Linked DNA regions of Mus musculus. The protein of the gene in region 1 purifies or fractionates together with the protein of each later gene. This does not show direct contact. Links are inferred from orthologs where the notes say so. Each region holds a gene or a part of one and is shown in the gene's direction. Other genes may lie near its edges.

Evidence for each region.
Region 2: the proteins of Sost (region 1) and Lrp5 purify together in Homo sapiens (affinity purification with mass spectrometry; 3 studies listed by BioGRID and IntAct, counting the BioPlex papers as one, with this or other methods). This does not show direct contact. The link is inferred for Mus musculus from reciprocal best matches to the Homo sapiens genes SOST and LRP5.

Annotation. Positions count from the first base shown.
Region 1 is NC_000077.6:101,964,148-101,968,417, reverse strand, and holds the start of Sost (sclerostin precursor), read left to right. Parts: upstream 1-1,402; 5' UTR 1,403-1,444; coding exon 1,445-1,658; intron 1,659-3,816; exon of another isoform or gene 3,817-3,892; coding exon of another isoform or gene 3,893-3,941; intron 3,942-4,150; coding exon 4,151-4,270. UniProt on the Homo sapiens protein: Negative regulator of bone growth that acts through inhibition of Wnt signaling and bone formation.
Region 2 is NC_000085.6:3,683,765-3,688,304, reverse strand, and holds the start of Lrp5 (low-density lipoprotein receptor-related protein 5 precursor), read left to right. Parts: upstream 1-1,740; 5' UTR 1,741-1,862; coding exon 1,863-1,950; intron 1,951-4,540. UniProt on the Homo sapiens protein: Acts as a coreceptor with members of the frizzled family of seven-transmembrane spanning receptors to transduce signal by Wnt proteins.

The DNA of each region.
Region 1 (4,270 bases):
GCCCCTCCTCCTTTTGCACCTCAGGTGTGAACCCTCCCTCCTCTCCTTCTCCCTGTGGCATGGCCCTCCTGCTACTGCAGGCTGAGCATTGGATTTCTTTGTGCTTAGATAGACCTGAGATGGCTTTCTGATTTATATATATATATCCATCCCTTGGATCTTACATCTAGGACCCAGAGCTGTTTGTGATACCATAAGAGGCTGGGGAGATGATATGGTAAGAGTGCTTGCTGTACAAGCATGAAGACATGAGTTCGAATCCCCAGCAACCATGTGGAAAAATAACCTTCTAACCTCAGAGTTGAGGGGAAAGGCAGGTGGATTCTGGGGGCTTACTGGCCAGCTAGCCAGCCTAACCTAAATGTCTCAGTCAGAGATCCTGTCTCAGGGAATAACTTGGGAGAATGACTGAGAAAGACACCTCCTCAGGTCTCCCATGCACCCACACAGACACACGGGGGGGGGGGTAATGTAATAAGCTAAGAAATAATGAGGGAAATGATTTTTTGCTAAGAAATGAAATTCTGTGTTGGCCGCAAGAAGCCTGGCCAGGGAAGGAACTGCCTTTGGCACACCAGCCTATAAGTCACCATGAGTTCCCTGGCTAAGAATCACATGTAATGGAGCCCAGGTCCCTCTTGCCTGGTGGTTGCCTCTCCCACTGGTTTTGAAGAGAAATTCAAGAGAGATCTCCTTGGTCAGAATTGTAGGTGCTGAGCAATGTGGAGCTGGGGTCAATGGGATTCCTTTAAAGGCATCCTTCCCAGGGCTGGGTCATACTTCAATAGTAGGGTGCTTGCACAGCAAGCGTGAGACCCTAGGTTAGAGTCCCCAGAATCTGCCCCCAACCCCCCAAAAAGGCATCCTTCTGCCTCTGGGTGGGTGGGGGGAGCAAACACCTTTAACTAAGACCATTAGCTGGCAGGGGTAACAAATGACCTTGGCTAGAGGAATTTGGTCAAGCTGGATTCCGCCTTCTGTAGAAGCCCCACTTGTTTCCTTTGTTAAGCTGGCCCACAGTTTGTTTTGAGAATGCCTGAGGGGCCCAGGGAGCCAGACAATTAAAAGCCAAGCTCATTTTGATATCTGAAAACCACAGCCTGACTGCCCTGCCCGTGGGAGGTACTGGGAGAGCTGGCTGTGTCCCTGCCTCACCAACGCCCCCCCCCCCAACACACACTCCTCGGGTCACCTGGGAGGTGCCAGCAGCAATTTGGAAGTTTACTGAGCTTGAGAAGTCTTGGGAGGGCTGACGCTAAGCACACCCCTTCTCCACCCCCCCCACCCCACCCCCGTGAGGAGGAGGGTGAGGAAACATGGGACCAGCCCTGCTCCAGCCCGTCCTTATTGGCTGGCATGAGGCAGAGGGGGCTTTAAAAAGGCAACCGTATCTAGGCTGGACACTGGAGCCTGTGCTACCGAGTGCCCTCCTCCACCTGGCAGCATGCAGCCCTCACTAGCCCCGTGCCTCATCTGCCTACTTGTGCACGCTGCCTTCTGTGCTGTGGAGGGCCAGGGGTGGCAAGCCTTCAGGAATGATGCCACAGAGGTCATCCCAGGGCTTGGAGAGTACCCCGAGCCTCCTCCTGAGAACAACCAGACCATGAACCGGGCGGAGAATGGAGGCAGACCTCCCCACCATCCCTATGACGCCAAAGGTACGGGATGAAGAAGCACATTAGTGGGGGGGGGGGTCCTGGGAGGTGACTGGGGTGGTTTTAGCATCTTCTTCAGAGGTTTGTGTGGGTGGCTAGCCTCTGCTACATCAGGGCAGGGACACATTTGCCTGGAAGAATACTAGCACAGCATTAGAACCTGGAGGGCAGCATTGGGGGGCTGGTAGAGAGCACCCAAGGCAGGGTGGAGGCTGAGGTCAGCCGAAGCTGGCATTAACACGGGCATGGGCTTGTATGATGGTCCAGAGAATCTCCTCCTAAGGATGAGGACACAGGTCAGATCTAGCTGCTGACCAGTGGGGAAGTGATATGGTGAGGCTGGATGCCAGATGCCATCCATGGCTGTACTATATCCCACATGACCACCACATGAGGTAAAGAAGGCCCCAGCTTGAAGATGGAGAAACCGAGAGGCTCCTGAGATAAAGTCACCTGGGAGTAAGAAGAGCTGAGACTGGAAGCTGGTTTGATCCAGATGCAAGGCAACCCTAGATTGGGTTTGGGTGGGAACCTGAAGCCAGGAGGAATCCCTTTAGTTCCCCCTTGCCCAGGGTCTGCTCAATGAGCCCAGAGGGTTAGCATTAAAAGAACAGGGTTTGTAGGTGGCATGTGACATGAGGGGCAGCTGAGTGAAATGTCCCCTGTATGAGCACAGGTGGCACCACTTGCCCTGAGCTTGCACCCTGACCCCAGCTTTGCCTCATTCCTGAGGACAGCAGAAACTGTGGAGGCAGAGCCAGCACAGAGAGATGCCTGGGGTGGGGGTGGGGGTATCACGCACGGAACTAGCAGCAATGAATGGGGTGGGGTGGCAGCTGGAGGGACACTCCAGAGAAATGACCTTGCTGGTCACCATTTGTGTGGGAGGAGAGCTCATTTTCCAGCTTGCCACCACATGCTGTCCCTCCTGTCTCCTAGCCAGTAAGGGATGTGGAGGAAAGGGCCACCCCAAAGGAGCATGCAATGCAGTCACGTTTTTGCAGAGGAAGTGCTTGACCTAAGGGCACTATTCTTGGAAAGCCCCAAAACTAGTCCTTCCCTGGGCAAACAGGCCTCCCCCACATACCACCTCTGCAGGGGTGAGTAAATTAAGCCAGCCACAGAAGGGTGGCAAGGCCTACACCTCCCCCCTGTTGTGCCCCCCCCCCCCCCGTGAAGGTGCATCCTGGCCTCTGCCCCTCTGGCTTTGGTACTGGGATTTTTTTTTTCCTTTTATGTCATATTGATCCTGACACCATGGAACTTTTGGAGGTAGACAGGACCCACACATGGATTAGTTAAAAGCCTCCCATCCATCTAAGCTCATGGTAGGAGATAGAGCATGTCCAAGAGAGGAGGGCAGGCATCAGACCTAGAAGATATGGCTGGGCATCCAACCCAATCTCCTTCCCCGGAGAACAGACTCTAAGTCAGATCCAGCCACCCTTGAGTAACCAGCTCAAGGTACACAGAACAAGAGAGTCTGGTATACAGCAGGTGCTAAACAAATGCTTGTGGTAGCAAAAGCTATAGGTTTTGGGTCAGAACTCCGACCCAAGTCGCGAGTGAAGAGCGAAAGGCCCTCTACTCGCCACCGCCCCGCCCCCACCTGGGGTCCTATAACAGATCACTTTCACCCTTGCGGGAGCCAGAGAGCCCTGGCATCCTAGGTAGCCCCCCCCGCCCCCCCCCCGCAAGCAGCCCAGCCCTGCCTTTGGGGCAAGTTCTTTTCTCAGCCTGGACCTGTGATAATGAGGGGGTTGGACGCGCCGCCTTTGGTCGCTTTCAAGTCTAATGAATTCTTATCCCTACCACCTGCCCTTCTACCCCGCTCCTCCACAGCAGCTGTCCTGATTTATTACCTTCAATTAACCTCCACTCCTTTCTCCATCTCCTGGGATACCGCCCCTGTCCCAGTGGCTGGTAAAGGAGCTTAGGAAGGACCAGAGCCAGGTGTGGCTAGAGGCTACCAGGCAGGGCTGGGGATGAGGAGCTAAACTGGAAGAGTGTTTGGTTAGTAGGCACAAAGCCTTGGGTGGGATCCCTAGTACCGGAGAAGTGGAGATGGGCGCTGAGAAGTTCAAGACCATCCATCCTTAACTACACAGCCAGTTTGAGGCCAGCCTGGGCTACATAAAAACCCAATCTCAAAAGCTGCCAATTCTGATTCTGTGCCACGTAGTGCCCGATGTAATAGTGGATGAAGTCGTTGAATCCTGGGGCAACCTATTTTACAGATGTGGGGAAAAGCAACTTTAAGTACCCTGCCCACAGATCACAAAGAAAGTAAGTGACAGAGCTCCAGTGTTTCATCCCTGGGTTCCAAGGACAGGGAGAGAGAAGCCAGGGTGGGATCTCACTGCTCCCCGGTGCCTCCTTCCTATAATCCATACAGATTCGAAAGCGCAGGGCAGGTTTGGAAAAAGAGAGAAGGGTGGAAGGAGCAGACCAGTCTGGCCTAGGCTGCAGCCCCTCACGCATCCCTCTCTCCGCAGATGTGTCCGAGTACAGCTGCCGCGAGCTGCACTACACCCGCTTCCTGACAGACGGCCCATGCCGCAGCGCCAAGCCGGTCACCGAGTTGGTGTGCTCCGGCCAGTGCGGCCCCGCGCGGC
Region 2 (4,540 bases), on another chromosome or scaffold:
GGAACTGTCAGCTAGGGCGGCTTAGAGAGTGGAGAGGCAGTATGGTTTTCAAGAACTAAGTGGGATAAGAGTCCCAGCAATGAGGCCCTCCCCCAGGCAAGACAGTGCCCATCTCTGCAAGGGGCCATTACAGTTGCAGCCCATAAGATGGAGTTGAGAAGTAACGGAGGTGTGGCTAGGCCAGGCCGTGTGAGCCCAAGGCTTCAGCTTCCTCTCTGACCGGTGGGAGGAGTGGTGAGGTCTGGCTTATTTAACAAGCTCCCTGGCTGCAGGGAGAGGAGGCCTCAGAAAAATCAAGGCTGAAAGAGGAAGGCCTTGGGGGATGGGTGAGAGTGGGGCTAGAGAAGGGGGTTGTGCTCTTGGCTCTGTGTTGAAGGTGGAGGGGGGATGGGGGTTGGGCTTGGGTGAGAAGGAACCAGCAAGGACACTAGCTGCTCTAGTCCCCAGTCCCCTGACTGCCCCTGAGACCTCCTGACTCCTCTTCCGGTCAGAGACTGGATACAGCCACCCCAGGAGACTGCTCTTCCTGAACCACTGGCCTGCTTCCGCATTGAAATCTCTGCCCTGACCCTTGGAACCCTGGTGTGGGTCCCCTCCCCCTACTAGCTGGTCCCTGGTCTTCATGTTTTCCTATTAGAAGACAAGTTTGGGGAGTCAGTTCTCTTTTCTTCTGCGATCCTAGGGTTGAACTTAGGTCAACGGGAGCCATCTTGCTGGCCAGCCTTGACCTGCCTTTTGCTCCTTCTGTTTATCAGGTCCGGTTTATGCAGCGCTGGGAGAGCTGTGCACACTAGGGAACCAAGGGCTCTATCAACTCTTTTTAAACAGGGTCTCGCAGGTAGCCCAGGCTGGCCTCAAACTCATGGCAAGCCTCCTGCCTCAATCTCCCGAGGCTGGACACCATGTCAGACTTATAAGTAAAGTCATACACACTTGAGCGCCATGTCACTTTCCCGGCTACTCACTCCTTTGTTTGGGCTCTTATTTTTGTCTCTTCCTAGCATAAACCACAGGAGGGCAGAGGCACCCTCCTGACCACCTCAGCTTCTGTCCTTCCTCTCTACCTTGCAAGGTGGACACTGCCATTAGCTTACTTTCTAAGGACATGAAATGATTTCACCTACACCTGCCTGCCCAAGGTGTGAGGTTCTAGAAAGCACTGCCGGAGAGAGAAGGCTCAGCAGTTAGAAGCACTTACTGCTCTTTTAGAGACCTGGGTTTGGTTCCCTGCAGTCACCTGGTGGCTCACACCTCTAACTCCAGTCCCAGGGGACCCCCACACCCTATTCTGGTTTCCTTCCCGCATGTGGTGCACATACATGCGTGCAAACACTCATACACATACAACAAAAAGTAAATCTAAAAGTAAAAGCCCCCAGTTCCTCCAGCAGTATCCGCTTTTGCGCCTGTTCCCGCGTGCATCCCAAGTGGGGCGGTATGTCTCTGGGCCAGGTGGCTACAGTTGTGGTGAAAGAGCCCAAAGCTGGCTTCGGAGACCTTTGGCTTCCAGCCCTGAGGCCTCCTGACTGTGTGGGTCATGCTTCCACGTGCCTCAGTTTCCTCACCTGTCAGTACAGAGACTTGGCAGGTGACCCACCTGCTTGCCCGGCCTCTCCTGTCGCGGGCCCGGAGAGACCCGCCTGCCCGGCTCCCGGGCGCCCGCAGGAGGGCGCGGCTTGGCGGGGGGCGCGGGCGGCGCGGGGGGCGGAGACCGGCTCGGCTTCCGCTCCCTCCTCCCGCGTCGTCTTGGGCCGCGGCGCCCGAGGCGGGAGCAAGAGGCGCCGGGAGCCGCGAGGATCCACCGCCGCCGCGCGCGCCATGGAGCCCGAGTGAGCGCGCGGCGCTCCCGGCCGCCGGACGACATGGAAACGGCGCCGACCCGGGCCCCTCCGCCGCCGCCGCCGCCGCTGCTGCTGCTGGTGCTGTACTGCAGCTTGGTCCCCGCCGCGGGTAAGGTGGGCGCGGGGGACAATGGCCGGGGCCGCAAGCAGCCACTTTGCAAGTTGCGGACGAGTTGGAGCGCGCTCCGGGGGACCACGCGCCGGGGGACCTCGCGCGGGCCCTTTGTCTCTCCCGCCGGGGCCCCTCCCTGGGGACCGAGCCCGCCAGGTGCGGCGCGGGCGGGCCCTCACCTGCCCAAGGCTCGGGACGCCGGGCGCGCTCAGGAGTGCGCCCACGGGCATCGCGATGGCCCGGGACAGGCCTGGCCTATCGCGAACTACTGGGAAAACTTTTCGCGAGCCTGCTTGCGGCGGCCGGCCTACCGAGCCCTGGGAAGTGCCAGAAGTTGCTAGCTAGGAAGTTCGGAGAGCCCTGCGCGGGGCGGCCTGGCCCTGGGCTGCTGTCGCTTTGACCTGCGTGGGCTGTCAGCCTTCCAAACCGACTGACACCTGCCAGGTGTCCCCGTGACCCCAGTGACCCATCTGACCGCTCGGGCCCCCAAGCGGTGGCCAGGCACCCAGCCCCGCTGACCAGTGCCCAGCCCCGAGATCGGTTGCGTGGGTGCCTTGGTGTGGGGAGGTATGGTTCTGCCTCAGTTGGACCCACCTTTAGGGAAGTGGCCCGCTCGGGAACTTTCTAACTTTTTTTTGGTGTGTCCTGAGGGGTGGAGCTGAGGTCAGGAGGACTCTCGAGAAACGAAGCAGTTGGAAACGCTACACATGTTCTTTTAATTCGGAGATTGCCATGTGGTTTTTAAAGCAAGGCTCTTGCCACCTAAATCATTGTTTTCGGGTGTTTGTGTTTTGTTTTTCTGGAGTGTGGCTGTCCAAGGGTCCGGCAGATACTCTTGAACTCCCGGGTGGTGGTGATGGCAGTTTGGGGCGGGGTAGGGGACAACCTCAGGTCCCTTTGTCTGGGCCTTATTAAGGCGAACAGCTGTCCCCCTGTGTATTTCCAGGGTAGACACTTGAGGGAGGTGGCTGGGCCTGGCTCTGTGCTCAGATTCCCTGGGCTGCAGTCTCTTCCACCTATGTTTGGGGGGAGGGGTCGAGGGGAGCTGGCTTCATCCAGTCTTGGAGCTCTCAAGCTCAGCCAGAGGGCTCTTGGGGAGTCTCCCCCTAAATTTGTCTCCCTCGGGATCATGTTTACATTTTCAGGCCATCTCTGGTGTTAGCAAAACAAGGCGAAGACAAAACTGTGACAGGCTGTGGGAAGTCCAGGCCAGTTCTACTCTTCCCGGAAATGCCTGGGTCGTGACTGCAGAAGGGGTATGGGGCAGCTATTTGTTTTAAAGGTGGGGTTTGTAAGCCGACTTTCCTGTCCTAGGTAGGATTGACATTACTCTGGGATCCCCTAGCCTGTCATCTGGTATCCCAAATTGAACATCTTTATAGTTTGGTGGTGTGTGCGGCAAAAATAGAGTCGATTATTTTAACATTAGGAAGCCAGGCCCCAGGAGTACCAGCTGATGGGGTAGTCCAGGCCTAAAATGGAAGCAAAGAGAAGAATCTTCCTGAAGCTCTTATTTGAGTGTTTTTGGCTGTGCGACCCCCAAATGTCTGTCTGAGATTCTTGCTTTGGGAGTCTGGAGAGAAGGGAGTGAGTGGGCAGCTAATTATTTTTCCTGATTGCTTCCTGTTGCAAATTGAAGCTGTGAGCCCACAGAAAAGCCTTTGTTCTAGTGGTCCCTGAATTCCCCATTCTGGAAGCCCTAGGCTTTCCTTCTCACCGCCTAAAGCACTCACTTGTCCCTGGACCAGCCTAGCCTGTCTGGCCCCCTGGAGGAGGTTCCTGCAGTTGTGGGCTGTCTACCCCTGGGAGGGCCCAGCCAGCACATGTTGGGTTATATTGGGTTAAATGCTGAGCAGAGTCCCCTCTGTGCAAGAAATTACCCAGGCAACCTGTTTGTCCTAAGCTTCTCTGGGGAAAGCCACCTCCTGGCCCCAACATAGTTGGAACCCTTTTTATTTTGACTACACAGTGTCATTACTCAGGCATCTAGCAGAATTTGCACAGGGGTGTGGGGGTGGGGTACAGCCAGGTGAGGACTCTGTCACCTGCTTTGCAAGTGGGTGCCCCAGGGTTGGAGCAGGAGGTGATCATCTGACCAAGGTGTTTTGTTTTGTTTTTGAGGCATAGTTTCTCTGTGTAGCTCTAGTTGTCTTGGAACTCCCTTTGTAGACCAGGCTGGCCTCCAACACAAAGATCCACCTGCCTGTGCTTCCTGAGTGATGGATTAAAGGCATGGGCTACCACCACCCAGCTCTATAGGGTTTTCATGTCCAGTTGCTGTTTGTCTTTGGGAGGCTTACATAGCCTCTCTGTGCTGAGTCCTCTCTTCTCTTATATCGTTCGGTGGGAAGCATTTGGTACATGCAGCCCAGGTCTGGGGTAGTGGTGGCAGAGCTTTGAGGACAGTTGTGTGTCATGGCCTTTGATCTGGCCTGGGAATTCTGGAGCTGTTGTTACATGGTTTGGGTTTTTTTTTTTTCCTTTTTGTATGTTCATATGTGTGCATGCCTGTGCATGTAAAGGTCAGAGGTCAGCCTTCAGTGGTTTTCCTCAGGAGTCGTCATGTGCATATGGAAATTAAAGGTCA